4 linked regions of the Rhinolophus ferrumequinum genome follow. The protein of the gene in region 4 interacts with the protein of the main gene of each other region in a pairwise test. Links are inferred from orthologs where the notes say so. Each region holds a gene or a part of one and is shown on either strand. Other genes may lie near its edges. The genes, in order: PAK1, LRRIQ3, TRIM41 and NCK2.

Region 1 (7,660 bases), on a different chromosome or scaffold from region 4:
AAGGAAGAGCGGAAGGGAGCTGGCAAGGAGCTGGTTTTATCAAAAGCAGATCTTTTAACCCGGCAGTTTTCAAACTTTAGCAAGTGTCAGAATCACCTGCAGGGCTTGTTAAAGCAGAGGTTTTAGGGCCCCAACCCCGAATTTTTCATTTGCAGTTCTAACAAATGTCCAGATTATGTTGATGTGGTTGGTGCAGAGCTCACACTTAGAGCTAATTGTTCTAACCCAAAGGATTGGCTATCCTCTATCTCATGGGCTTGCTTCTTCATTCAGACATTCATTCATTTCAAACACTTATGCAGTGCAAAGAACTTTGCTAGGCACTAAAACTAAACAGATCCTGCCCTCAAGAAATTCACAGGTTAACTAATGGAAAAGACAGGCACAAATCAAATAATTGCAGTGTAGTGCTGTAAGAGTGGTACGTGCAAGAGCCAAAGAATAAAAGAGCAACTCATCCTATGGAAGTCACAGGAAGAGAGACTAAGGGACTGCTTCTCAGAGGTCCAACAAGCACTTCTCCACAGAAAGGTAGGGAGTAAGGAGACCTGCATTCCAGGCAGAAAGAACAGAACAAGCAAAAGCAAGGATGAGAAAGAGTATGGCAGGGGAGTTATAGAAAAGTGAGGCTGCAAAGGTAGGCAGCCGTCTGATCTCTGAGAACTTCTTATTCTGTTTAAGAGTTTGAAAATGTATCTTTAGGACTAGTTGAGGTAGGGAGAAATGATGTGATGGGTTTTGATTTACAGAGATCTCTCTGGATACAGACCACTCTCCTTTCAGAAAGCACTGCTTCCTCCAAGCTTAGCACAGGGCCTCAGAACATATGCTTGGTACATGCGTATTAAATTGAATTGAACAAGCTTTTACCAAGTGCTGTCTTATGGATGAGAGGCAGGTCACCACCTTCCCTTTGGACTCACTTTGGCCAGGACCAAAAGACTGGTAAAACAGGTCTAGCAGCCGCAATTATTGCACACTACTCCCTGGATAGCTGGAGTCCCCAGAGATTAGGGCAGGCTTCCATTGTTTACATGTCTACCTCACCCACTAGACTTTGAGCTCTTTGAAGACAGGGAATGTCTTAATAGACTCTGAATCCCCATAGCCCTAGAAAACCTGAAACCCAGCAGCTCTCCACACTCCAGTAATATTGGGTAAATGAAAGACTGGATCAGCAAATTTACCAGACAGACCCATGAGCTCATCATACAGGTAAGGGTACGAATAAGCTTCAGGGAATGTTTCAGGGTCCATGTTCCCAAAACCCTTTTTGAGTCGAATTTCTAGTTGAGATGAGGTGTATTTCATATGCACCTGAGGATTTCCCAAACAGGAACAAGAAAAAGTTACAAGCGCTGTGGTAACTCCTACAGGCCTCTGATGGCCCCAGTGAGAAGTCAGATTTGCCTGATTAGAGTTTGGGGGTGTTTGCTAGCAACGATTTCGCAGTGGGGCGAAGAGAGAGGAAATCTTCAGTGGAGTCTTGAAAGCTGAGTAAGTGCTTGATACCTGCCTGTTTCTAGGGCATAAAAGCAAACCCCTGGAACTTTAAGGCTGGAAGTGACCTGCTCAAGGTCACACAGGAAGTAGGTAAAGTCACAAGGTAAGACCAGTGAGGCATCTGGGTACTGTTGCCTCCTGCTTTCCCCTGACAAAGTTGAGAGCGCCCAAAGACAGTAAGCAAACTAAAGATTTTTCTCTGGAACAATTCTTAAAGGCTAGACTAATGAATTCGAATTTTTATTGATAACCATAGTACCACCTTTCACAGTTCCGGGGGTGGGGGTGGGGAACGTACGACAGTTACCCAAAGGGTTTCACAAACAACAAGCACTTTGCTCCCAACATCCAAAACTTCTCAAGCATTCTTCCAAAAACATTCCCACCAATGTTGGCTGAGAAAATATTCAAGGCGGTAAAGGTTGCAACAATCATGTCTTTTGAAAGGGAATAATGAACATAACAATAGCTCTATCCTTTCCCTGTTTTTAACTCCACAAGTTAGAGTATTCCCGCGGTGGGGGAGGGACTGCAGAAGTCAGGCTCTATCCTATAGTATTTTTCAAGAAGTGGGACCCTACAGGTGATTCCTCCCTCCCGGACAGGGGTGCTTTTTCCAAGCAGAACGAATCGGACGCCGCTTTGCTTAGGCTTCCCCAGCGCCGGCCACGGTTAGCGCAGGAGGACCGCTAAGTTCAGCACGGAGTCGCTCCCACACGGGGATCTGGGGAGTCTCCCGGCCTCGCCCCAGCCTCTGTCCTCTCCCGGGTCCCTGGGGTCTCCTGGGTCCCCCAGCGTGAGACCCGCAGCCGCGAGGATGAGTGCACACGGAGCCTTTGTTGCTCGGACAGGAACGGCCAACCTCGCGGGTCGACGCCCCCGCTCGTCTCACCTGGCGCCCCCGCCCGCCCCACCCCGCCTCGCGAATGAATGGGGCCCAGGCCCCCGCACCCCGCACCCCAGCCTGGCAGCCTGAGACGCCAGCGGTACCCGCAGGCGGCCGGCTCTCACCTTCCGCGCTCGCCCGGCTCGACTGGGCTCCTCCTCCTCCTCCACCCGGGTGGCAGCGGCCGAGCCCGGGAGTGAGCGCGCGAGTGTGCGCGACGGGCCGCTGCACTTTCTCCCTCCCGCCGCCGCCGCGGCGCGCTCGGCGCCTCCCCCACCCCGCTTGGGCTGGGGCCGGGGAGTCCCCTCAGGACGAGGGGGTGGGGTGTCAGCGACGGGGAAGGGGGAAGGGAAGGAGCCAGGCGACGCGGGGAAGGGGGTGCGGTGGGGGGCGGGGACGTGAGAGGGCGCGGGCAGCCTCCCGGGGAGGAGGTGGGGCGAAGACAGTTCTTCGAGGGGCTCTCGGCAGAGTGGGGCTCCGTGAAAGAGGGGATGAGAGTCTAAGGGAAAGCGTCCGTGGGGTAAGACCGCAGAGCCGGCGAGGGAGGGAGGCGGCGGGGAGGGAGCGAGCGAGCGAGGGAAGCCGTGAGGGTCGTCTACTGCCTGCTGGCACCGTGGGCTCCAGCTGCAGCCGCACGCCCGCCCGCAGCCGCTCTATTGTACGCCGCGGGGCCTGGCGGGACCGCCTCTCCCACCGGCCCCGGCCCCGGCCCCCGCCCCCTTCGCGGCGAGGCAGCGGCGCTGGCAGAGCCCGCCCGCCCCGCCTCCCGCAGGTGGGAGGGGGCGGGGAGGCCAGGGCAGACCCACGTGAGTGCTGCCAACCCAAGCGTAGGGGAAGGCGAGCTTCTGGGATGACGTCATCGGCGCATGACGCCAGAGACTGGGGAATCACCCGGAGGCCGCATGACGTCATTGCACCAGCGGCTCGTCTCAGGTCCGGCGGTCTACAGCTGCAGGCTCCTTTGGCATGGCCTTTCTCCTGGAAGATTTTGGGACGCTTTCTGGGGGCGTTAATGGTGTAGGAAAAGTCCCAAAAGATGGCTAACCCCCTGGTCTTGTGGTCCTCTTCAGGTTACAAAGCACCACCGCATGTGCTAGATCATTACCAAGAGAGATATTTGAAAACCACCCCATCTCCTATGACCTCAGAGCCAAACATTTATTATACTATTTGGAGTGGAGAGGAGATAAAGAAATACTGTGCTAATGGAGGTTTGAACTATCTTGTACTGAGATTTAAAAAATGGGCTTCCTTTCTCGGTTTTCTCCGACCCTGGAGGATACATTCATCCCAAACCTTTCCCCTGAGCTCAGATTCTGTGTTTCCCCACGCTTCCTGGCAGTGTCATTTACACTTCATGTACCTCAAATTCCACATGTCCAAAACGGAAACCTTAGTGACTAAGCGTCTGGAATCAGATTGTCCTGCTTCAAGTCCCAGCTGTACAAATGTCAGGGATAGGACTTTAACATTTCTAAGTCACAATTTCTCCATAATAAGTACTACCTGTGTACCTAAATTTGATCTCTCCAAGCCTCAGTTTTACAATAATAATAATAACTACAATTTAGCACACATGAAACCGTTTGGAATGTTGACCATACCTCTTACCAATTTCACCCAAAGGTGCAACTAATGTTACTTCCTGCTCTCGGTGAATGGACCATCATCCAGCAGTCCCAGAAACCTGGACATAACCCTATTCTTCCTCTCTCGAGACCCTTATCAAATTAGTCACCAAATCCTGTAGAGTATCGTAAATATTTCTCAAGGCCTTGCCCTTCTCTTCACTCACTACCATGACCTAGACGACTAGAGCAGCTTTCAGTCTCTCCAAATTCAATCCATTCTTACTGGGGACCAGAGTAGCCTTTTAAAACCACAAACTGATGATGGCCACTCCTGTTTAAACGCTCTGGAAGCCTTTCGTACCATTCAACCTTGGGACTTACAGCAGCCTGTCTAGCTTCATCTCACACCATAAATCTGTTCCAACCACACCAAAATGCTATTTAATGTTCTTTGAACATACATTTCTTCATGGCTCTGAGCCCTTCTCTCTTTATCTCACTGGCCAATACCTATTCACTCTACAAAGCCCAGTGTGAACGTAAGAAATGTCCAAACCTATAGAGAATTTTTGTGAGTTTATTTGAGCCGAACTGACAATGGCCAGGAAGCAAAATCTCAACAGACTGAGAAAATGCTCTAGAGAATAGCAATGTTGGAGCTTATTTTATACTTTAGAATCAAAGGAGGAGACATAAGGAGGGTTACATGAAATCCATCGGTGGTAGATTACGGGGGCAGGAAAAAGCAAAGCGGGGAAATCTCTGGGATTGGATAAAAAGTAAAATGGAGAGAGATGCTTCTTTTACATTGGTGGGTCCAGGAGAGTAAATACTTAATATTTACAGCATGTAAAGATGGTATTGGGGAACAGGATAACAATGAGGGGTTCTGTGGTCTCCTGCTTTGGTGTGGTGGGTGTGCCCTGGGGCGTCTGGAAAGGGGGATTACTCTGACATTTCAAAGATATGTTATTTTAGATGCCAAAAAGACAACAGACAGGCTCACTTAAGGTAAAGATTGACCTTTGTCAAGGAAGCTACAGGCCAATGACGTGACTACCCACCATAACTAGCTTTTAGTCGGGAATTTTTTATGTTCAGATCATCCTATGTGGTCTCTTTGGGTCTCTGAGTTTGTAAGGCTGGCGGTGCAGTCCTCCCGAGCTCGTCAGGTTTAGTATGTGGCCCCTTGTTCATCCACACCAGCTCAAATGTCATGTTCATTTATTCATTCAACTGATAGTTCTTAAGTTTCCCTGAGCCTTCACACTGCTGTAATCCTATAGTACTTCCATGCCTTTCATGGCGTGTAGCACACTGTGTAGTAACTGTATTTGTCTATCCGACCCCCTGAGCTCCTTGAGATCGTCATATTTCTATCCATTCTATCCATATCCCCAGTATCTAGAACAGTGCCTGACACATAGTAAGAATCAATAAAATGTTATAAAAACGTATTAAATAAATGCTAACCTAGCACTTGCCATGTGCCAGATACTGTTCTAAGCACTATCTCCTGTACACCTCTAATAAGCCTTTGAGATAGACTACTGTTTCCCCCTCATTTTATTGATGAGGAAACTGAGGCACAGAGGAGTTAACCCAAGATCATAACCCAGTAAATTAATCCTAAACAAAATTGCTTTTGCATGGTCTCTGTGGTAGGCAGAATAATGTCTCCCTAAAAAGGTTCACATCCTGATAATCCCCAGAACCTATATGTTACCTTCCCTGACAAAAGGGACTATGCAGGTGTGATTAAATTCAGGGTCTTGAGATGGGGAGGTCATTCTGGATTATCCAGGTAAATTCAGTGTAATCACAAGGATTCTTAAAAGTGGAATAGGGAGGCGGAAGAGTGAGGAAGAGGTAGGTTAGACTACAGAAGAGGTCAGATCGAGTTATGACTGAATGTGAGAAGCACTCCACCCACGCTTTGAAGCCAGAGGAAGGGAGCTACCAGCTAAGGCATAAAAACCACTCCAAAAGCTAGAAAAGGTAAGAAGACAGATCCTTTTTTGGAGCCTCCAGAAAGAAACAGAGCCCTGCGGACACCTTGATTTTAGCCCAGTGACACCCATTTCAGACTTCCGAACCACAGAACTGTGAGGTAATGATTGTGTGTCTGACTGAAATAGGAGGATGTGACCACTGAACACCCAGCAGGTAGGGAAGGAATGGGGATGAGTAGGTAGGGAAGGAATAGATCCGAGGGTCTAACTTTTGTGTAGGGAATGAAAGCCATCCCCACCCCCACGCACATATCCACATACTCCCTCGAAAAGCAGCCTGAACCACAGAAAAATAAAAATAATGAATGCCTTGTTTTAAGCCACCTTACTTGTGGCAGTTTGTTACTGCAGCAATAAGAAGCGAGTACAGTCTCTAGTCAAGGGTGACAGCTCTGTGCTAACAAGGGGGAGCAGCTACTTGCTAAAGGTACCGGGTTCTCAGCTGCATCCACCCAAATGTCTCCATCCCAGGCCTCACGGTGCCACTCCCTACCTATGGAAACCCCGACTTTAGCATACGGGAACAGTCAAAGGATCTCGGCCCTATTACATTCTGGGCCTGATTTGCAGCATGATCTGCTCTCCGGCTGTGGGAGAAGAAGGTTTTTTAGAAATCTTCCGTGAAAGTCTTCTGGATTTCATCCCATGTCCTAAAGTGATAGGTGGATAACCTGCGCCTGAAAATCACTTTCTTCAAGGCTTTTAAAATAGTTAACAAAATCCAGTCAATTCCGTGAAATTATAATTAACATTACCGCCATATCATTCAAGTGCTGGAGCGCGAATTCTCAATGGGGGTGATACCTCCCCGCAAGGAAGTGAAACTTGTTCTGAGGTGGGCAAAACTACATCTTAGATATTACAATGGTTTGTGGGATATTTTCTTAAAAGTGTATTATCTTTGTATTATGATAATTGACCTATAACACTATTAGCTTTAGGTGTACATGATTTGATATACATGTATGTAGATATATATTGTGAAAGTTTAGTTTACATCTATCACCACATAGTTTAGTTAACATCCATCATCACATATAGTTACAAGTTTTTTTCCTTGTGATGAGAACTTTTACGATCTACTTCCTTTTCAACTTTCAAATATACAAAACAGTATTAACTATATAGTCACCATGCTGTACATTACATCCCCAGGACCTTATTTATCTTATAACTGGAAGTTTGTACCTTTTGATCACCTTCACGTCTTTGCCCCTCCGCCTTCCCACCTGGGATACTTTAAGTTTAATTTTTCTCTTTAAGAGAGCACTATTAAAAAACAAAACAGGTTGGAATCTCTGTGCTAGAGCTACTACCTAGTCTAAGTACTCCTTCCACTTGTACCTGTTCTACCACAGCTGAAGGCTTCGTTATGATAGCACAGCATATCAGGGGCCAGCACTGCTCAATTATCATCAACAATAGATCCTTGTTGCCATCTGATCAGTGAGTGATTCCGTTCCAGAATCTCATCCTGGTACCAACTACCTAAGTTTAGGTTTCCCAAAAAGCAGAACCTGAGATAAATGTGCGTACTTGGGTGCAGGTAGTTTATTTGGGAGGTGATCCTAGGTAACCGTAATGAGACGAGGGAAAGGGAAAGCCAATGTAGAGTGTGTCACTGAGGGTCTCACTTCTGCGGGAACCTCAGAGAAGTGTACAGAATGCCTCCCGGAAGAGATTACCTG
Region 2 (7,060 bases), on a different chromosome or scaffold from region 4:
AAACATACAATGGAGAAAAGACAGCCTCTTCAATAAATAGTGCTGGCAGAATTGGAAAGCCACATGCAAAAGAATGAAACTGGACTGCTATCTGTCACCATGTACCAAAATTAATTCAAAATGGATCAAAGACTTAAGCATAAGACCTGAAACAATAAACTGCATAGAAGAAAACATAGGTACTAAACTTATGGACCTTGGGTTGAAAGATCGTTTTATGAATTTGACTCCAAAGGCAAGGGAAGTAAAAGCTAAAATAACTGAATGGGATTATATGAAACTTAAAAGCTTCTGCAAAGCAAAAGAAACCATCGAAAAATAAAGAGGCAACCAACTGAATGGGAGAAGATTTTTGCAAACAGTGCCTCCGATAAGGGGCTAATATCCAAAATATACAAGGAACTCATGAAACTCAACAACAGAAAAACAAACAACCCAATTGAAAAATGGGCAGAGGACCTGAAGAGACATTTCTCCAAAGAGGACATACGAATGGCAAATAGACATATGAAAAAATGCTTAACATCACTAGTCATCAGAGAAATACAAATAAAACCACAATGAGATATCACTTCACCCCAGTCAGAATGGCTATCATCAACAAGACAAATAGTAACAAGTGTTGGAGAGGCTATGGAGAAAAAGGAACCCTCATACACTGTGGGTGGGAATGCAGACTGGTGCAGCCTCTATGGAAGGCAGTGTGGAGGTTCCTCAAAAAAATTAAGAATAGAATTACCATATGACCCAGCAATCCCTCTCCTATGTGTCTACCCCAAAAAACTGAAAACATTTATCCATAAAGACAAGTGTGCTCCAGTGTTCACTGCAGCTTTATTTACGATGGCCAAGACATGGAAACAACCAAAATGTCCTTCAATAGATGAATGGATAAAGAAGTTGTGGTATATACATGCAATGGAATACTATTCGGTGGTAAGAAAAGGTGAAATAGGACCATTTGTGACAACATGGATAATCTTGAGATTATAATGCTAAGCGAAATAAGTCAGACAGAAAAAGCAGAGAACCATATGATTTCACTGATGTGTGGTATAAAAACCAAAAACAACAAAGGAACAAGACAAACAAATGAGAAACAAAAACTCAGACACAGACAATAGTTTAGTGGTTACCAGAGGGTAAGGGGGATAGGGGGTGGGAGATCAGGGTAAAGGGGATCAAATATATGGTGATGGAAGAACTGACTCTGGGTGGTGAACACACAATGTGATTTATAGATGATGTAATACAGAATTATACACCTGAAATCTATGTAACTTTACTAACAATTGTCACCCCAATAACCTTTAATTAAAAAAAAAATTATTCACATACCATAAAAGTCACCCTTTTCAAGTGTCAATGCAGTGAAAAATGTTTTAAAACAAAAACAATAACTTGGTTGTTTATCAGTACTTTTTCGTGTTACTGTGCTCTGTGATATCAGTTTTAAGGCATTAAGAGTAATCCATTGACTGTGTTGCGATATTTTATTTAGTTAAAACTACTTTTGAACACGTTTAGGATGAATCTTGTTTTTGTTATTATATACAATACTTAATGAATGTCTGTTAGCATTACCTTTTTTCATATCCATCATTTCTTTTATTTTACATTTATACTGTGGTATAACTGACATATTAATTTCAGGTATACAACATAATGATTCAGTAGTTGTATATATTGCAAAATGATCACCACAAAACATCTAGCTAACATTTGTCACCACACATAGTTACAAAATTGTTTTTTCTTGTGAGGAGAACTTTTAAGATCTACTCTTAAAAACTTTCAAATATGCAGAACAGTATTATTAACTATAATCACCATGCTGTACATTACATACCCATGATTTACTTATTTTATATCTGGGTATTTGTACCTTTTGAATCTCTTCATTCATTTTGCCTGCTACCCACCCCTTCCTCTGGTAACCACCAATCTATTTTTTTGTATCTATGAGTTCATTTTTGTTGTGTTTTCTTGTTTGTTTATTTGTTTTTTGATATGTATTTATGTACCAATGAAGTGTGAAATACATAGTCAGCTTCAGCTTTATATGAAGAAATGGGATCTCCGCTGTTCTACGTTGATGTGTGTTGGTCATTCAAAGGTTTTGTTTTGAGTTTATGAGCTAAATAATTTAACTTTTGTTACTGATAATGCATTAAGATTGGATCACTTGTAACAATTGTATCACACTAACGCAATATGTTGATGGGGGAAACTGTGAAATGGGGTACGAGGGAATATATGTGAACTCTGTACTTTCCTCTTAATTTGTCTGTAAATCTAAAACAGTATCTATTGATTAAAGAAAAAAAATCACTTGACTATAAAAAAGGAATAGAAAAAAACACATTTGTTTTATATATGACTGTCACTTTGCAGATTTCTCGCAGAATTGTTTTTGACTTTAAAAATTGGATTCTATAGCTAAAACTTCTGATCACAGCATTGTCCGTCTTGAATCATTTTTTCTTGTGCCTTAGATATGGTCTTTCGTAAGTCCTTGTTATAAACTGGAGTTACCCTACATTTAGGTCACTTTGGAAAAGTAGGTGTTTCAAAGGAGAGCCTGAAGAAAGACTTCTTAAGAGCTTTTCTAAATAAGGAGTCCAAATGATGGATGCATTTAGACATTGTCCTTCATTTCAGTAGCTACAGAGCTTGATGAGTTTGTAAAGGTTTATTCATATCTATTTATTCCATATCTGGTTCTTTATATTTGGAAGATTGGTTTACTAACAGTTTAGGCTAGCCTTTCTCAACGTGTCCATGGATTGCAGGAGTGTCCGAACTGCGGCCCGTGGGCCAATTGCGCCCGCAATCCATTTTTTATTGGCCTGCAGCAAATTCCAAAAATATATTTAGTTTACTTAAATAAACCAGGTGAGGCAATACATACTTCACCTCGAGTGAATGGCCCGGCTGTTTGTGTATTTTACTGCATATGGCCCTTGGTGAAAAACGTTGAAAAAAGTTTGGACACCCCTGAGTCCTAGAGGCATGCAAAATTACAAATTCCTTGGCCAGCAGCCCAGAGACTCTGATGACATAGATATGATATGGGGACCAGGAAATGTGCCTGTTGATTCATTTCTTAGGTGATATTTAGAGTTTGAGGATTATAGTTGTAGGCCTTGGCCAGGACATAAAAAGTACCCAGTCTTTTGAAAGAGTGCAAGGGTTTATCTGGATTTTCACATTAATTCTTATTTCCCCCATATGGTAGAAATAGAAATGGGGAAGATGGTTAATCTTACCAAACGCACTCAGATAGGCCACTGGAGCTTATATATTCTATTTTAAACTATCACTGGGTGACTGGCTTTTATGAAAGCTGAAATTAACCACAGTAAGAGAAATTTCATATATATACGACAAATACTATATAAAATTATGTAAAACAGCTCTGATCCAAAAGTTTTAGACAAACTTAATCAGTCAAGTTTTGAAGCTATTAGAATTCTAGATCTTAATTGCCTAATTGAATTGAACATAAATATAATGTGATTGCAAATTATCTCTTCAAGAAATAAATATAACAGTTGAAGCCCTGTATTCCACCTTCATTTCATTTAGCTGCATTTTTTAGCCTCTCCCACAAAAGATTCCCTTTTCCTGTCTTGGGAATTCATCATTCAATGCATTTCTTTGTTCAGCAGTATTTTTTAAGCAAAATTATTATACAAAGTATGCTAAGGTATAGTTTTCTTTGTGTTTTTTTTTTCAGTTGTCTTGCCAAGAGGCGATGTTTATAGTGCAGCTCTTTCATTGAATTCCATCCTCAAAGTATTCTAGGAAAAAGGAGGTTTTTCATTTACTGATTAGTTTATTGGTGAGGGCAATGATACATTTTGAGATGTAAGTCTTAGTAGTCATTTAAGATGCTTTGGGATAGAGGTTTTATGGGAATTCGTGGTTTTTTTTTAAATAACTTTTCTACCCATTTTTATTCTTACTATCTATTAGCAAACATTTTTATTTACATATAGAATTAGTTTGGGAAGTTGAAAAAGCTTTTGATAGCAGTCTACCATTTTTTTCTAGATGTTTCATGGAACCATCACAAAAGAGCTAACCAGTCATGAAGAATGGAGTCACTATAATGCAAACATTATAGAAGATCAGAAAGATTTTGTTTTTGTGAAATTCAGTGGTCTTCATTTAAAATCTATGGAAAATTTGCAATTTTGTATCTCTCTTAGAGTATGCATCTTCTCAAACAATTTTATTACGGATATTCATGCACTTCAAAATTGTATAAAATTAGTCAAACTTGATCTCCATGGAAATCAGGTAAGCACCAGCCATTTCAGATATTTGCATATAAATTAAATTATATTTAATAAGCATTTATGTTATCTATCCACAATATTTCTCCCATATAATCTTTTATATAATATGAACAAACATTTAAACATAAATAAAAATATGAAATGTATAAATACAACATTTAAAATATAAGCAAACTTTTAAATTAAAAGTGTGTGATTTGTTTTATTTTACTTCTTAAATCCATAGTCTAGATTAGGAATACTTCTTGACTCCTGAGTTCTGTTTTGATGACCTATAACTGACATATAACATCATTTTAATTTCAAGTATATAATGTAATGATGCGATATTTGTGCATATTGTGAAATGAACACCCCAGTATTCTACTTAACATTTGTCACCACATAGTTACAAATCAGTTCTGTAGTTACAGTATTTTCTTTCATTTGGTCAGTTGCCCTTTCATTTCAGTGGTGGTTTTCTTTTGCTATGCAGAAGCTTTTTATTTTTATGTGGTCCCACTTGTTTAGTTTTGCTTTTTATTGCCTTTGCTCTCGGCGTCAGACTCAAAAATAAAACACCGTGACCAATGTTAAGGAGCTCACTGCCTATATTTTCTTCTAGGATTTTTATGGTTGCAGGTCTTACTTTCAAGTCTTTAATCCTTTTTGAGTTAATTTTTGTATATTACAAAAGATAGTTTCATTCTTTGGCCTGGGTCTGTCCAGTTTTCCCAGCATCATTTATTAAAGAGAATGTCCTTTTCCCATTGTATATTCTTGGATCCTTTGTTGTAAATCAATTGATCATATATGTGTGCATTTTTGCTGGGCTCTTTATTTTGTTTCATGGAACTATGTGTCTGTTTTTATGCCAATAACATACTGTTTCATTACTATAGCTTTGTAATATAATTTGAAATCAGGGAGCGTGATGCCTCCAGCTTTGTTCTCTCTCAACATTGCTTTGGCTATTCAGGGTCTTTTGTAGATTTATACAAATTTTAGGATTGTTTCTTCTATTTCTGTAAAACAAAAAAAGCCATAGAAATTTTTCATAGGGGTTGCACTGAACTATAGAATGCTTTGGATAGTATAGGCATTTTAACACTCTCAATTGTCACAATCCATGGTCATGGAATATATTTTCATTTATTTGTGTTTGCTTCAGTTTCTTTAATAATGTCTTGTAGTTTTCAGCGTACAGGTATTTCACCAATGTGTTGCATCACATTGTTCAATTTGATTTTTTAATTCTTTATATAAGGAAAGTATTTTAGAAAACTTCAGAGAGGCAGCCTATTACAAAGGAATTTTTACTGAACAAAGTATATGTTTACTCATTTAATTACACTAATAATGATAGCTTATTCCAGATGTCCAGTGTATTATGTTTTTACACCAGTCATCATTTGGATAATTAGAAATTCTGTTTTTATTTATTGATAAGAAATTTGTCACTTGGGAAAATACTGAATTTTAGAAGATGTTTAATATATTTTAGTTTCCATGCAATTTATAGGAATTTTATATTTGTATTTAAAGTATTATTATTCATAATATTTCAGGTAAAGATTCTACCAGATACCAAATTTTGGAGTGGATTGAAGAACCTAAAACTTCTCTATCTTCATGACAATGGTTTTGCAAAGTTAAAGAATGTATGTATGTTATCTGCCTGTCAAAGCCTCATTGCTCTCACTATGTTTGATTGTCCAGTAAGTCTTATAAAAGGATATAGACATGTTCTCGTCAATAGTATATGGACTCTCAAAGCGCTGGACCATCATGTGATTTCTGATGAAGAAATAATTCAGAACTGGCATCTTCCTGAAAGATTCAAAATGTATAACCAACGGCTTTTCTTTAATTTCTCCCCTGCTTTGAAAAAGGTACATGCTTTCATTAGGGATTGTTTTAAGTAAATTTATAGAAATACATTTTTAGCTTCTCAGGATTATGCCTAAATTATATAAAACTAGTATTTTGCATCAGTTATGTAAGATACCATATAGTAGTGAATACATTAGTAATGTGTTATGTCTGAAATTTTAAAATGTTTGTATGTTTACTGCATGAAAATTGTTGAGCAGAAAAATGTCAAATTGTAAAGAAATATATATATATACACACACACACACACACACACACAGATATATATATATTCATATACATATTTGGTCTCCATTATGTTTTAATAGCTTTAAGGATATATAGCTTACATACTGTAAATTCCCCCATTTTACATGTATGATTCAATTATTTTAGTAAATTAACAGTACTGCATAACCAACTCCAAAATCCAATGTTAGAAATTTCCACCACTCCAAAAGTTTCTCTCATTCCCATTTGCAGTTAATCCCCACTCCCAACCCCAGTCCTAGATAACCATTGATCTGTTTTCTGTCTCTATAAATTTGCATTTCTAAACATTGTATATAAAGGAATTATACAATATGTAGTCTTTTGCATCTGCCTTCTTTCAGTTAGTGTGATGTGTTTGAGGCTCACTCATGTTGTAGCATGAATCAGTAGTTTGTTCTTTATGATTGCTGAGTAATATTTTATTACATGGAATATACTGTATCTTCTTTGTCCATTCACCAATTGATGAACATTTGGATTAATTTCAGTTTTTGCTATTATGAATAATGCTGCTATGAACACCTACTTACATGTCTTTATGAATATACATAAGCTTTTGTTTTTCTTGGGTAGATTCTCAGGAATGCAGTTGCTGGGATGTATGTTAAGTTTATGTTTAACTTGTTAAAAAA
Region 3 (6,880 bases), on a different chromosome or scaffold from region 4:
TGCCAAGCTGGTGTTAGTTAATGTACGTACAATGTACGTATCTGAAAGGAATAAAGTATCTGACTGTAAAATAGCCTATAAGTTAGAAAGAGAATCACTCAAATTAGTTCTATATAATAAAGCTTATGTATTTACATTTGCTGATCAGTCAGTGTCGGATTATTTGTGTCTATGTGACCTCCGATTGGACTGGCATTCAACAGATGTGGCTAACACAAATTAAAATCCCGTTTCAGAAGCTCTTTGAAAGAGTCCCGTTGGGGGAGCGTGAAGGAGTGGGATGCCCATGGATACTCCACCCTGGGATCGAGTTAACAAAGTGACTGCACATTGTTTAATGGGTACAGTTAACTAGGAACTGAGAGGATATTAAAGGGAAGGGCAAAAGGAGCTCATAATCTCCCCTAATAATGAAGGGCAATATTTCCAATGCACTGAGTCCCATACTAGGCTGGGCTTTCTAAAGATATTCTCTCCATCACTGATTCAGAATCTCTAGTGGTAGGGTCTACTGTAGTTTTGAAAACCTCCATGAGTAATTCAGACAATCAGCGGAGTTTGACAATCATTGTCTAGTCAATTTGTCACGAGGGGATGTAGATGTCTTAGCTATAGCACTTATTCGATAGATCAGAGGCTCTAGGCGTGTTTCTCTAAAATCGGGGTAATGATAATACCTAAATGAGGTTATTGTAGGAATCAGGAGAAGGTATGAAAACCCAAGTATGAAAACAGAAGTTACAAAACAAAAAAGCTCTACACCAACCACAAGGAAGCTACTCTCTCCTGTTCCTGGTCCCACTACTTCGCTAAGCATTGCTATTAGAGCTGGCTGTCTCAGGGCCAGATCTCCTTTATCTATGTCCAAAAAAGTCAGGATCAGAAGTAGGGGGCAAGATATTAACCAAAGTAGAATCTGTCTCCAAGAAGTTACACGTCAAAAAAGTCAAACTAACAGACATCTAAAGAGTGGTGTCGTTAACAGTATTGGAGGTGTCATAACAGTGTGTGAGGGGGGTGTCATAACTAGTAGGTGTGCGGCCTGTGTATATTACTTAAATCTCTCTCTACTTCCCGGTCTGTGAAATGGGAATAGAAACCATATCAAACTCACAGGATTGCTCTTTCTTTTAAATAAGATAGTCTATGAAAAGTGCTTAGTACAATGCCTGAGGTACACAGTATATTTCAGTAAATACTAACTTTTAATCATGGACAAATTAAAGTTCAAAGACATTCAGGGACTTGCCCAAGTGAATAGGTGCAGAGCCAGAACTTATGATTTAAAAGTCTCTCCCTTTTTTCTCAATTCCCAGGAAGGTCAGAAGTTCTGGCCAGCACATCTGAATGACACAGATCCAACAAAAGTCCTCAGGGAGTGAACCAAGCCACATTACAAGGTAGGGAACCCAAAAGTAGGCAAATGCAGAGCATTTGGGTCTACACTAGGAGTCATTACTACGCTCCTGCTCCTCAGAGCCCTTTCTTGTTCTTTGAGATCCCAAGTTCTTCCCATCTCTAGGGTCTCAGTCAAAGGCTTAAGATTCACCAAAAGGAAAATGAGACCAGTGGTAAAGCCCTAAGGGCCTGTCACCTGCACTCCTACACTTAGGGACATTGGGACGTGTGAAACAGCAGTGGCTTTCCCCCAGGAGAAACACAGTCCAGTGACATGGCATTGCCAGCTTTGCACAATTTCCTTTGAGAAAGCCAATCTTTCCTGGTCTTCTCTGTGTCTGCTTTGTCTGTGTACAGGATCCTTCTCACTCTAACCCACGTTGGTGCCAATAAGTGCTTAGATAAGGAGAATCAGCTCACTAGAACATGATGCTCTTTGGAGGGAGACATTTCCTTTTCCCAGCTCCTCTTCCTTCCTCTCCTCCCCCACAAAATTCCCATCTTCTAGTTCTCTCACCTTGTACTCCTGCACCACCTCCTCCAGTGGCACCACGCTGTGCTGTTTGTGGCTCCTGGATTCTCGGCACACCACACAGATGGCCTCTTCGTCCACCTCGCAGAAGAGCTTCAGGGCTTCTTGGTGTTTGGGACAAACGCCCTGCTCATTCCCACGGCTCCCCCGACTAGGGGCTGGGTGCATCTGCCGAATCACCTGAACCATGTTGGCCAGCTGCAGGTTGGGGCGGAAGCTCCGCCTGGGAAAGCTCTTCCGGCACTGGGGGCAGGTGAAGCACCTCCGAGGGGCCGGAGGCGGAGGCAGCGGCGTGGTGGGGTCTAGATCCTCTTCGTCGTCCTCCTCCAGCACTTCTTCCTCGTCCTCCTCGTCCTCCCCCCTCAGGTCCTCCTCCATGTCCAAGTAGTAGTCCAGGTCTTCCTCCTCGTCTTCCTCCTCCCACACGTAGTCCATGTTGTCCCAGTTGGATTCGCCCATGCCACCGGTCCAGAATACATCCTCCTCTTCCTCCTCGACCTCTTCCTCCAAGTCGCCCTCATAGTCTTCATCCCTCATGGGGGTGTCCCACCCCCCACCGGCCCCCACAGCCTCCACTTCCTCTTCTTCGCCGTCCTCCTCCTCCTCCTCCTCCCGGTCTAACTCGTCCCTGTCCTCATCCTCCCCTCCCCATAACTGGGTTACACACACTCGGCAGAAGTTGTGCCCGCACCCGATGGACACGGGGTCCGTGAAGTAATCCAGGCAGATGGCGCACACCGCCTCCTCCTGAAGGGTCTGCACAGGGTTGGGTGCCATGGCAACGGCAGCCATCTTAGTCTCCAGTCAGCTAGTGTAGGTGGTTGGTGGGGGTAGGGGCGGGGGCTCTTCCCTCAGACGCCCTGGCGACCCGGCCCCACCCCCAGCCCTGCCTCTTCACACCTTGCCTTAAGCGCAGCCTGAGAAATGTCCTCCCGACAACCCACCCCTCCACGGTTTCCCACTCCCAGACGACAATCGTGTCTCTGCCAGGGGAGGGGACAGAGCTGAGCGCTACCGCCAAGTCCCTCAGGTGGCCCTGAGTGCAAATCTGCCCCAACGCTCTCTTGGCCTCCTCATAAACCCCCGCCCCTCCTCACTTCCTGGCTCCGCCCCTTTACTTCCGGCCTCCTTCCCAACACTTCCGGCGCCTACGAATTACGCAAGCTCCCGCCTTCCCTCCACGGTCGCGCTAACGCCCCCTTTCCGCCCCGGGCCCACGAACGACAGGAAACGGCGAGGAGACGCTCTAGCACACACTCGGGAACAGGACAGGAGGGCTAGAATGATAATGGCCCACTTCTCTGTGGTGCGGGTCAGCGGGGAACGCAGATGAAACAGAAGGACCAGCCCCCCCCGTCCCCCACCACCGGGGATAAACTTTGGGAGACAGTGGAAGCCCTTGCGATCGTCCGCTCTCGGTGCTATGACCGCATCGGCCCGGCGCCATCCTACCGCCCGGACCCGGACCACTGCAGCAGGGATTCCCCACAGCCGATGCCGGAAGCGGAGGGGCGGGTCCGGGTGAGCACCGTAAAGTATTTCCGGCCCTTCTAGGCGGAGGACTTTGTTGTTTGAGGACTCGGAACGTCCCTCGGAGACGATCGGGGGAGGGGCCTGAAGAAGTGTGGTGGAGTGGGACCGGAGATCCTCCCCTTCCTCCGCACTGTAGTTGACATTTCCACACCTATTTCAGGAACTGCCGTCCGGTCAGTGTCTCATTATTTAGAAGAACTTTCCTAACTGCACATCAGTAAAGGGATACTGACAAGTTATTGCATGCACATTCACAGTGGAACACGCTTTAGCTGTAAAAAGGAATCCTTTTCAAGCTGTGTTATTAAGTGAAAAAAGCACGGTACTGAACAGTGTGTTGAGTATACTACCATCTGTTTAAAGAGAATGAGAGGATGTTAAGTGTATTTGATGTTTCTGTAATCCTGAGTTTACTCATATAAAATAAGGGTAATAGTTCCTATCTCAGAAGGTTTTGTGAAATTAGAGTTAATATTATGCAAAGCGATCAGAATGTTGCTTAGCACATAGATAGAAGGTTCAGCTACCCATTATGATCGTCGCGGTCATCTGTCTCCGGCAGAATACTATACCGTAGGAGCAGAGGGTCCCTGGGAAGGCTGAGGGTCCGTGATAGAAAGGACACTTTTTCGTATATGATATTCTATATCTTTTGAATTTTGAACCAAATCAGCGTTACTTAAAGGAAAAAAAAAACTTTCTAAATGCCATAATTCAACACTTCTAGAGTTGTGTACTACGCCTGCTCCGCGAAGAAAATACCTCGAGATCTGTTTTCTTGGGTTCCCTAAGAGTAGGGGCTCAGACTTTGTTTGTGGTATTAAATTTACTTGAGAGAATCGTATCCGGGATGTAGATAGAAGTTTATTAGTAAAGACTTGTGCGATAGAAATAATACTTAATGCTTTTTAAAAATATGTCCTTTCATTTAAAAAAAAAAAACTGGCGGGGGAAGTTATAGGGTCGTAATTCTTGTTCAGAATCCCCAGTGAGTGCTGGCGCTGTGTGATGCCAGGGCTGGGCACACAGAATTTGCCCCCTGCCTCGTGGGGAAACTCCAAGTGGACCTGTGCTTTCTAGGGGTGTGGTGCCAAAACTTCGTGGGTGAACTATAGTAGACTATTCCAGGAGCTGCGGCGAAGTGCGGCACAGTTCAGCGGGCCAGCGCAAGGAGCCCACAGTCCCGCTGCAACAGGGTTCGGTCAGCCTCGCCATTCCGAACTATGTGTAGATTCAGGGTGGTGTCGGTCAAGCTCTAGGAGCAACGGTTTCCGTAGTGTAGTGGTTATCACGTTCGCCTCACACGCGAAAGGTCCCCGGTTCGAAACCGGGCGGAAACAAGCTTTTTGGTCTAGTTTTCAGTTCTTTGGTCACTTCCTCATCCCACCATCCGGTGAAGTGGTCCTCACAAGGAGGGAAGGGCGTGTGTGTCTCGGTATCTGTTTCCGGGAATCAGATGGAGAAGCGGGAGGGCAGCAGAGCCGCGCTCACAGCAGACCCTTCATAAGTATTGGCAATGTAAACGCAGTCTTGAACCGCAGCTAATCTTTTGATCTTCCCCTCAAATTCCTCTCGGCCATCTTTCCCACCTCGATGGGCCTAGTGAGTAGGACAAAGCAGGCGCACAGCGGGCGCTCCGTAATACTTGTACAGTCAGTCGTTTCTTAAAGTGTGCCCACATTACTGTATATGAATCTTTGTCTCAGACAGAATAGAAGGATTCAGAGAGTTGCCCGGCTAGCTCAGTCGGTAGAGCATGAGACTCTTAATCTCAGGGTCGTGGGTTCGAGCCCCACGTTGGGCGGTGGTCATTTTGAGAAATGAACTTTTGATACAAAGGCATCTCCTGTGCTCTTCCTTCCTTTGGTTAAGGAAGGTGTCAGAGCTAGACAGGTGATTGCCAATAGCTGAACTATAGTACCCCTTGTTGGAATGCACCCAGCCCTAGGGCAGGAATGAGGGGAACAAATTCCTGCCATTGCACTTGCTAAAATCCACCTACTACTGCCCACTGATGAGGCGTCTTCTGTTTACCTGATGACCCTCCCGGGTGTCCCGACGAGTTGCACTGGACACGTAGCTTCCCAAAGCTGTGATGGGACTGCAAATCCATCCTGAACGTTCGTGAGCGTCCAAACCGTAGCTCTGATATGGTAGCACCTTAGTGTAGGTAGAAGTCAGGATTCTGCGCTCTCACCGCCACCGCCTGATTCTGATGTTGGGTAAAGAAAGAAGTGTCTTTTGGTGTGCGACCCTCATCTTCAGTGTGTTTTCTTTATGCTCGATTTTTAAGCCGTCGATCTTTTGCAAAATGTTGCCCCACACATTCCAGCCTTTGCATTCCCCCCACACATAAAGGATGTAACAGGAACATCCTCAGTTTACCGATCTTGTCATGAAATTTTCCCTTAACTTCAGTTGAAATTCATTCCTCTTATTGATTGTTTCTTTAGTCCTAAAAATTCAGCCCATTTTCTATTTTCCAGCTGGAGAATTCTCCCCACATACACAGCAGACCCTAAGAGAATTCTGCTGATCATATAAAGCTGGTTTATTAACCTTGCTAAGCTAGCATTGCCTTCAGTCTCAGAAGTGTGTCGAAGCAAGGGAGTTCTGAGAAATTGGTCAGAGTCTGTAAAATAGACAGAATTGCTAATTCAGTCCTGGCTCATGTGTCTCTGGGGAGTTACTGTCGTCAAGGTCTTATCTTGGACCATATGGGTCTAAACAAGCTGGTGTTGGAAGAGTGTGAACTTTGACATTTCGTCTTGCACAAATGCTTGTGGATTTGTTTGCAAATTGTGGTTTCAGGGTTTGTTTGTTTTTTTCCCCCCACCATCGTGACTGGGAAACATTGCCAAAAAAGTGCTGCTTTCTCATTAAAGGGAAAACAAAGTGGACAGACTTCTCTTCCCTTTCTCCCAACAAACTGAGGGCTCCCGGGAGCTTTTTGCTACAATTCCTGCTTTTCTCTCCTCCACAGATGCCACCGCAGCCTCGCCCGCCAGGCTCTCGGTTTGAAATCCCCCTCCGAGTAAGTGACCTACACTGCTCTTGGCATAGAGGAGTCAATGTCATCAGTTCAGATGTTCAGCAAAAGCATGGGACCCTGGTAAGATCTTTGGTCTCTATCAAGAGTGGTAATGAAAGGCCGCAGAAGCAAAGGGACTCGCTCTCATTTCTATTTTAGAGAGATCCTTCAGAAATGATGAGCAGGAGGTGTGAGGGAAGGGAGGCTGTGTCAGGGAGAGGGGCTGGAAGGGCAGATGTAGTCCAGACAAAAGGTGGCTGGTGCAGGGGTGAGGCAGCAGCCGGTGAAGGAGCTGGATGCATGGTTCGTACCCTCACCAGGAGAGGGGCTCCCAGGTTTCTGCTTTAGATGAGAGGAGAAAGAAGTAAATAGTAAATGGAAAATTC
Region 4 (7,039 bases):
TTTCTAACGCCACCACTTAAAACCTAAAGCTACTTCTGCTTCTCCGAACATGTTCTGTTTGGTACTTTTCATATTTAGCTTTATATTGTACTCATTTATATACTAGTCTTATCCTTCCTCTGAGATTACAACTCAGGTTATCTTTGTTTCTCCTGAATTGATTCTTATGCTTTACAAATAGAAATATACTCAATATGTTCAATTGAATTGAGGGTTAAGATCGAAGGCCAGGAAACAGCTGATGGGAGTGTTTACCATGTGTTAAACACGCAGTCGAGACATGTTTACATTGTCTCATTTAATCCTCACAACTCTGTACTTCGCTATCCCAGGCCCAGAGAGGTTAAGTGATCCAGATTCGCATACATGTAGGCTGCGGGCCTCTCAAGAATGGCTGACACAGTGCCTTCAGCCTCACCTTGGGCTTCCCGTGAGTCCAAGGAGAGGTGAGGGCGGCTTGAATGGAACTGAAGGAAGAGAGGGGCACAGGGAATCCCTTGCTGTGTCTGCACAGTTGGAGGAGGAAATCAGTGTGACCAAGTGGGGCACATACAGTAGGGGTTGCACAGTGACCCAAGCAAGTAACTTATATTGGGGCAGGGTAAACCAAGAGATGGTTATAGAAGGACTAAGTTTGAGAAGCCCTGGGAGATAAATCTCAGGATTTAACGCGGATGTGACTTGGGGGGAAAGGTTTATATTTTTTGTACTTTCAATACTTCATTATTGGAGACATTTTACTAGTAAAACAAACATGGGCATAGTAAGGGAAGAGGATGCATAAACATACACATTTTCAGATCAAACATCATCTTCAAAGAAATGTCTACCCATGCTGGTCTTGTAGTGGGTTGAATGGTGGCCCCAAAAGATGTGCTCACCTGGAACATGTGAATTCAACCTTATTTGGAAAAAGGGTCTTTGTCGACGTTACAAGGAAGAGTCTGGAGATGAGATCATCCTGGGTTTGAGTGGGCCCTACATCCAATGATAAGTGTCCTTATAGGAAGACAGAAGGGGTGAGAGGACACACAGGGGACCAGGACAGATGAAGACAGAGGCAGAGATTGGAGGGATGTTGCCATGAGCCAAGGAACACCTGGCGCCACCAGAAGCTGAAAAAGGCAAGGAAGGATCCTCCCCTGGAGCCTGCAGAGAGAGTGTGATTTCAGACTCTGGTCTCTAGAACTCCTAGGGAATACATTTCTCTTTTTTAAGCCACCCAGTTGGAGGTAATTTGTTAAAGCAGCCCCAGGTAAAGAACACAGGCCTCCTGGCGCTCAATTCCTCGGCCTTCCTCGGAGCACAAGCTCAAGCCCTGTGCTGTCAGGAAACTTTTGAGAAACTAGGTGGGCAATAGGGAGCCATGGGAAGTTCTTGAACAGTGGAGGGGCAAGATAGAAGCAATTTTTAGGATGACATTGACATCCAGTATAAATGTGGGGGAAGGGAGGAAGTGACTGATAGGAGACCAGGTGGAAGGTAGTGGGTGTAGTGGAAAGAACAGGAGTTCTGGAGTACGTGCAGTTCTAATTCCAGCTCCTTCACTTACCGTTTCAGTTTTTTTCATGTGTAAAGTGAGGATAATACTATTTATTGTGTGTGAGTTAGAGCTGATATATGTATTCAAAACAGATTGTAAGTATTGTTAGTAATCATGTAAAAATTAGGAGGTGACATTGGAGATGGGAAGAAAGATGCAAAGAGATGTTTAAGAATCACCAGGACTCGGAACCATAAGAATTGAGATTGAGAGAGATCCCAAGGTCAGCTAGAGCCCTCTCCTCACTGACCTTGGGGAGTGCTTGGAGAGAGGGACGGAAGAAGAGAATGGAAATGAGGTTTCACCTGGGAGCTGAGAAGCCTGGTGGATTCTTGGCCAAGCCGGAGACCGTGGAAGGAGGAGCTAGTTTGGGAAGGAGATGTGTTTCATTCTGAGTGTGATGAGCTTGAAGAGATGATGAGCCACGCAGACGGGCTGTAGATAAGCTGGCAACAGACCTGGGAGCCGGAGACATCCAGACTGGAAGCATACAAAAAATGATCAACTCTCTTTTAAAAAGAAGGCGTACATCAGAATAAAAACAAAGGGCCAAAGTCTGCTTTGGGGTATTACTGTTAGAGGTTGGGAGGAAAACATGTCTTGTAACTGGACAGAGCTGGGTGGGTCAGAAAGGTAGATAAATGGAAAGATAACCAAGTTTTAGGAAATAGCACAAATGCCCTGTGCTTCAGAAAACTTCATAGGATAAAGATTGAGAAAGGGGCATAGGGGTTTAGATAGAGAATGTCTTTGGTGACTTCACAAAGAATCAGAAAAGGAAGAGGAGTTCAAGACCCATGATTCAATGAAAGTTTACAAAGGAGACAAGTTAAAAACTGGGTCAATGTTGTTATACTTATTTTGAGTAAACTAATTTAAAATTGGGTCAGACCACTGATATCCTTCTGTTTTCCTTATCAGCATGAGAAAGGTTTTCCCAAAAGGATGAACTGAGGCAGCTTCTTTCCCAAGGTCAAACGGAGAAGGAGGTTGTCCCTGTTCCCTGATCTTGGGCCCATCCCTGCTCACAATGCACCTCCTTCTCTCTAGTGGCCAGTGGAATGCGCCCTGCTGCCAGGGAGTGTGCCAGGGACTTACATGGGAGCAAGGCCAGTGTTATCTCCCCATTTAGTAGATTTTAGATAGGTTAAGAAACACTTGTGCAAGGTTCCACAGTTGAAGAAGCAGATAGTCAAACACTAAACGGTGACTTCAAAGTCATACTGGCTCTACTTACCCTCTTCTGGTACTTCCTTTTGGGCACAAGGCAGGGGATGAGGGATTCAAATGATACTGTGATGCCACCTTGGGTAAATTGGTATTGCCTTAATAATAATGAGAAGCCAGGAGCCTAAGAAAGAATCTCATTAGTATGGATCCTGGCTACTCTGCCAGGAAATCAGAGTTATTTGAATAGTAGTGTTTCCTTTTGGGAAGCCATATGGGAAGGAGATTGGGGGAACAGACATCTGGATGCATGTGCCTGTGAAAGGGAACCTTGTGTCTGTTCCCTTCCTCTTGGGTTGAATCTCCCACGTTTGTGTATAGGTAATCCACTACGTGTGGCCAGGTGACCCGACCAGTCCCACTACCTTTTGGAGCCCACATTCCCTCAGCTCCTTACAGGAATCTGACCCATGGGTATGCTTGAGCCAGACACTGGAAGGGAGGCAGCAGAGATTGAGTTTCCTCTCCTCTTCAGAAGTGCTTCCGACACAAATGATGGAGTAAAAAAGTGTCTGGTTGGGAAAGTAAATAGATACAAGGCAAATAAATAAAAATGCCCACAAGCAATTACAGAGAGGAAGTGACATTTTTATGGAAGTCACTTTTCTGATGGACAACAGGACTGCTTTGCGTAGAGAGGCGTGGGAATGCTTCCGGGAGGGGGGCATCGTGATAAGAAAATCAAACAAACAAAAAGAGGATGGAAAGACCACCCACTGGTCATCGGAGGCTGGAAGTTGCTGCCTTTATTTCCTCTCTTGTTCCCTCACCCCACTTCTGCCCCCACCCCCGAGCGAGCCGTTTTAGGAGAAGGGACCCTTTCCTTTCCTCGGCCCCCACCCCGCGGTGCGTCCAAAGGTCTCCTGGTAGCCAGCCGGCCACGCGCCCCGCGCGCTATGCGTCCCCGAGCGCGGTCCTGTCCCGGTGCCGTTCTCAGTCCGGCCGCGCGCGGGCCCACAAGCTGCCCGCGCGTCCCCAGGTGGGTCTGGCTCCCGCCTGTGCGCGGGCGAGGCCGGCCCTTGGGCGGTGTCACCGCGCGGCTGGGAGGAGCGGCGGGAGGAGGGGAGGAGCGCGGAGGGGCGGGCGCCGCGCGCCGGGGGAGGGGTCGTCGCCACCGCCGCCGCCGCCGCCGCCGCCGCCGCCGCGGGGATCGTCAGGCCGGAGCCGCGCGGCCCAGCGAGCGGCGGGCGGCGGGGAGGCTTGGCGGCGGGAGGCTCGCGGGGCCCGGGCCGGCGGGGTCCGGCCGGGCCGGCAGCGTCCGCCGAGCGGCGGGAGGAGGGAGCGGCGCAGACAAAGAGCGGCGCCTGGGCGGGCGCGGCCGCCGCCCCGGGACCCGCGCCGCTGCCCTCCGGCCTCGGCGGGCGGCTGGCGGCAAGGTAAGCGCGGCCGGCGGCCTCGGGGCGGGGGCCGCAAACTTGGGCGGCTCCGCAGAGTTGGAGCGCAGCGGGCTCGCGGGTCAGGGCGCGCCCGGGAAGGGGCCGGGGGACCGGTCCCCTCCGCGCCCCACCGGTGCCCTCGGCCCCGCCGCGGCCTGGCCCGGTGGTCCCGCACTGCCGGCAGCGCCGGACTCCGCACCTTCCCCCTGCCGGCTCCCATCCTCCGGACGCCGGCACTGGGGTGGGGGCGCCAAGGGCGCGGGCGGGGGCAGGGGCCTGGGCGGTGGGTTCCCGGGACTGGAGACCCTCTGGCGCGCGAGGAGCGCCCGGCCTGCGGGCCGGCGACGGGCCCGGAACCGGGGGCCGGCGTGGGACTGTGTGGTGGCCGGGGTGGCCGGGGCGGGAGTCCCGGGGAAGAATAGCCGCTGATTGCCTGGCCTCTGCGCCGGGACGCGGGAGGCGGAGCGCGGCGGGGAGAACTTACTGTGTTTATTGGAACTATTTATGATCCCGCACAAAGCTGCTGTCACATCGCATAAAGGAGGTCCTCGCCTGGGCGAAGGGCGCTTTGTGCCGGGTCTCAGCCTGTGCGTCCTGCCCCAGATTTACAGGACTCTTACAGCCACCTGAAACAAAGTTTCTCACCACGCTCTGCCCTCTCGGTTTATTCAGGGCGATTTAACCACCAAGTGGTTCTGGGAGAATTTCGTGTGTGACTTTTAAGGCATTGACGGTAAACTCCTGTGTGAGCGTTGGTAGCATGTCGTTGTGTGGAGGGGTTTAGCTTGCAAAACGCTTAATTTGTAGACAATAACGATCGCCTTGAAAGGTTGCACGAGATGCCAGGGGTCATTGGCTAATGAACATCAGGCACCTAACTTTAACTAGAACCCACTGTTAACTAGCATTGTAACAGTTTCAGGGACAAAGCGCGAACGTGTGTGGAGTCGGCCCTTGTGGCTTCAGACAGTTCAGGTTGGCAGTTTCCCCCTTTATTTAGCTTTGTTTATTTTGCCAACAGGTTTAAGGCTGAATCTGCCAAGTTTGTGTCTGTCTGCACGATGGGGTGAGCAGGCCCCAGGGCTGGGACCCAGGAGCCTAAACCTTCGCGTAGGCCCACTCCTTCCGTTGACCCAAAAGGAAACTGAAGCCAGAGAGGCCCGTGGGCGTGGCTTACCGGGGCGCACAGGTAGGGGAGGCCTTTCCTGGTCCAGGCGCAGCCTTGGCTTCTCCCCTCTTCTCAGAAGGGATTTTGGTCGGAATGAGAGTAATTCAGGGTGTGTTTCATTGCATGGCATTTGATGTCTGATGTCATTAGCAACAGTGCTTCTCAAGTCTTAAAATAACTGAAAATTGAAATTGACCTGGGCTGCTTTAACTTATCAGAGCAGATGTAAACTTTGCTTCTGAACACTCCCTTAACTCACTTACCTAGTGCTCCTAGGTGAACCGGTAAATTAGTAACAGGATTCAAGCACATGTGGTAACATAAAGAGAATGGCAGTCAGTGGAGATACAGAGTAGAAATGACTTAGCCCAGAGATGGGGCCGCCGGGGATGCTGTTTTAGTGTTTGGAACAGGGATTTCCCGAGAATGGGTGTTAACCATGATAGTGAAGCAGTGACCACAAGGGAAAATCCTACCTTAATATTTCTCTCCTCGAGGTCGGTTAGATGTAGTCTTGTTTGAAGAAAGCAGTCGGATCTTAGTGGTCTTCTGGCTGCATCTCTTGAGGCTGAAATTAAGAGCTTCAAACTGTGGTAAGCTTCTGGAGGAGCTAGACTCAGCTTCCTCTCCTGGAGGCTTCACCTGGACTCTGAGCTTCTCAGGTTGGGCATAAACACTTACCGGGACTGATCATGGAACAAAGAGAAAATTGAGTGTGGCAAATTGCCATCAGAAGAATTGACTACTCTATCACCCCCTGTGCCCACTTGTGGAGAAACTGGCCCTTTTTAAATGGGCGGAGCTGGTTAAAGGTGCATTTCAAGTAGCTGTGCCCAGTTTTCAGGCTTTGAGTTCTGCTTTATTACGTGCAACATGCTTAAAGCCTCTTTATCTCTGATCTCTTGGAGCCTGCCACATTTCCAACCTCTGTCATTTGCGTTGGGGGGGTTATGGAGGTTTTGCTGCAAGCAGCAGGTCTTATGTACACAGTATTTGAGAAATGCCCTGTCATCCACATTAAATATACCAGAAGACTTCCTTGTATGTACACAAACTGGATAACCTTTTAAAGTACCCTAAAGACTCCCCGATTGCCCAAATGGCCTGAATCCTTTACTTGATCATTTGCATTGCTTAATTTGCCCTGGCAAGATGAGGCTGTGTCGCTTTCTGGGACACACACGCTTCTAACTGCCCCAACTGGCTTGCAGCATACGCTTGGGGAGAGAGGGCTTGTGGACACAATTCTCTGACTTTAAAAATAAGGCTGACTGACTGAAAAGCTGAAGATTGCTTGCTTGCTGGAACTGCACGGGAGGGCAGTGGACAATGTTTGGGAAAACTAGTAAGCTAACAATTTTTTTTTTTTTTTTTTTTCATAAATTAACTGGAAACTCCCCACAACTCACCCCAGAGGCTTGGGAAATTAGTTTTCCCATCTGGAGGGACTGCAGATGGGGTTTCCAAATTGTTTCCTTTACTAAAATGAGTGATGGAAACCCTTCATGGCATGTTTTCAAAGGGCCTCAGCTAAAAATGATACCATGTCGTGTGTTGTTAAATGCTCGAACTAAGGCGACTTAGAAGGAGGTCAACACATCCTTTTAATGGGTTATCACAAGTATGCAGTTAAAGTAAAAATAGTTTTTCTATTTCTTTAGGCCACTATGGTAACACAATTTAAAAAAATTAGATGTTTTTTTCTGCATTTCTCTTTGAACGGAT

What was found.
Region 1: the proteins of NCK2 (region 4) and PAK1 interact in binary tests that used the Homo sapiens proteins (3 or more experiments, as listed by UniProt). The link is inferred for Rhinolophus ferrumequinum from reciprocal best matches to the Homo sapiens genes NCK2 and PAK1.
Region 2: the proteins of NCK2 (region 4) and LRRIQ3 interact in binary tests that used the Homo sapiens proteins (3 or more experiments, as listed by UniProt). The two-hybrid records come from large-scale screens. The link is inferred for Rhinolophus ferrumequinum from reciprocal best matches to the Homo sapiens genes NCK2 and LRRIQ3.
Region 3: the proteins of NCK2 (region 4) and TRIM41 interact in binary tests that used the Homo sapiens proteins (3 or more experiments, as listed by UniProt). The two-hybrid records come from large-scale screens. The link is inferred for Rhinolophus ferrumequinum from reciprocal best matches to the Homo sapiens genes NCK2 and TRIM41.

What each region holds. Positions count from the first base shown.
Region 1 is NC_046294.1:51,809,363-51,817,022, forward strand, and holds the start of PAK1 (serine/threonine-protein kinase PAK 1), read right to left. Parts: upstream 3,012-7,660; 5' UTR 2,515-3,011; intron 1,216-2,514; exon of another isoform or gene 1,104-1,215; intron 1-1,103. UniProt on the Homo sapiens protein: Protein kinase involved in intracellular signaling pathways downstream of integrins and receptor-type kinases that plays an important role in cytoskeleton dynamics, in cell adhesion, migration, proliferation, apoptosis, mitosis, and in vesicle-mediated transport processes.
Region 2 is NC_046292.1:54,865,500-54,872,559, reverse strand, and holds the start of LRRIQ3 (leucine-rich repeat and IQ domain-containing protein 3), read left to right. Parts: upstream 1-4,056; coding exon 4,057-4,305; intron 4,306-5,851; coding exon 5,852-6,175; intron 6,176-7,060.
Region 3 is NC_046307.1:4,183,882-4,190,761, reverse strand, and holds the start of TRIM41 (E3 ubiquitin-protein ligase TRIM41), read right to left. Parts: upstream 3,004-6,880; 5' UTR 2,723-3,003; coding exon 1,916-2,722; intron 1-1,915.
Region 4 is NW_022680445.1:376,568-383,606, forward strand, and holds the start of NCK2 (cytoplasmic protein NCK2), read left to right. Parts: upstream 1-4,023; 5' UTR 4,024-4,146; intron 4,147-5,226; exon of another isoform or gene 5,227-5,335; intron 5,336-7,039. UniProt on the Homo sapiens protein: Adapter protein which associates with tyrosine-phosphorylated growth factor receptors or their cellular substrates. Maintains low levels of EIF2S1 phosphorylation by promoting its dephosphorylation by PP1.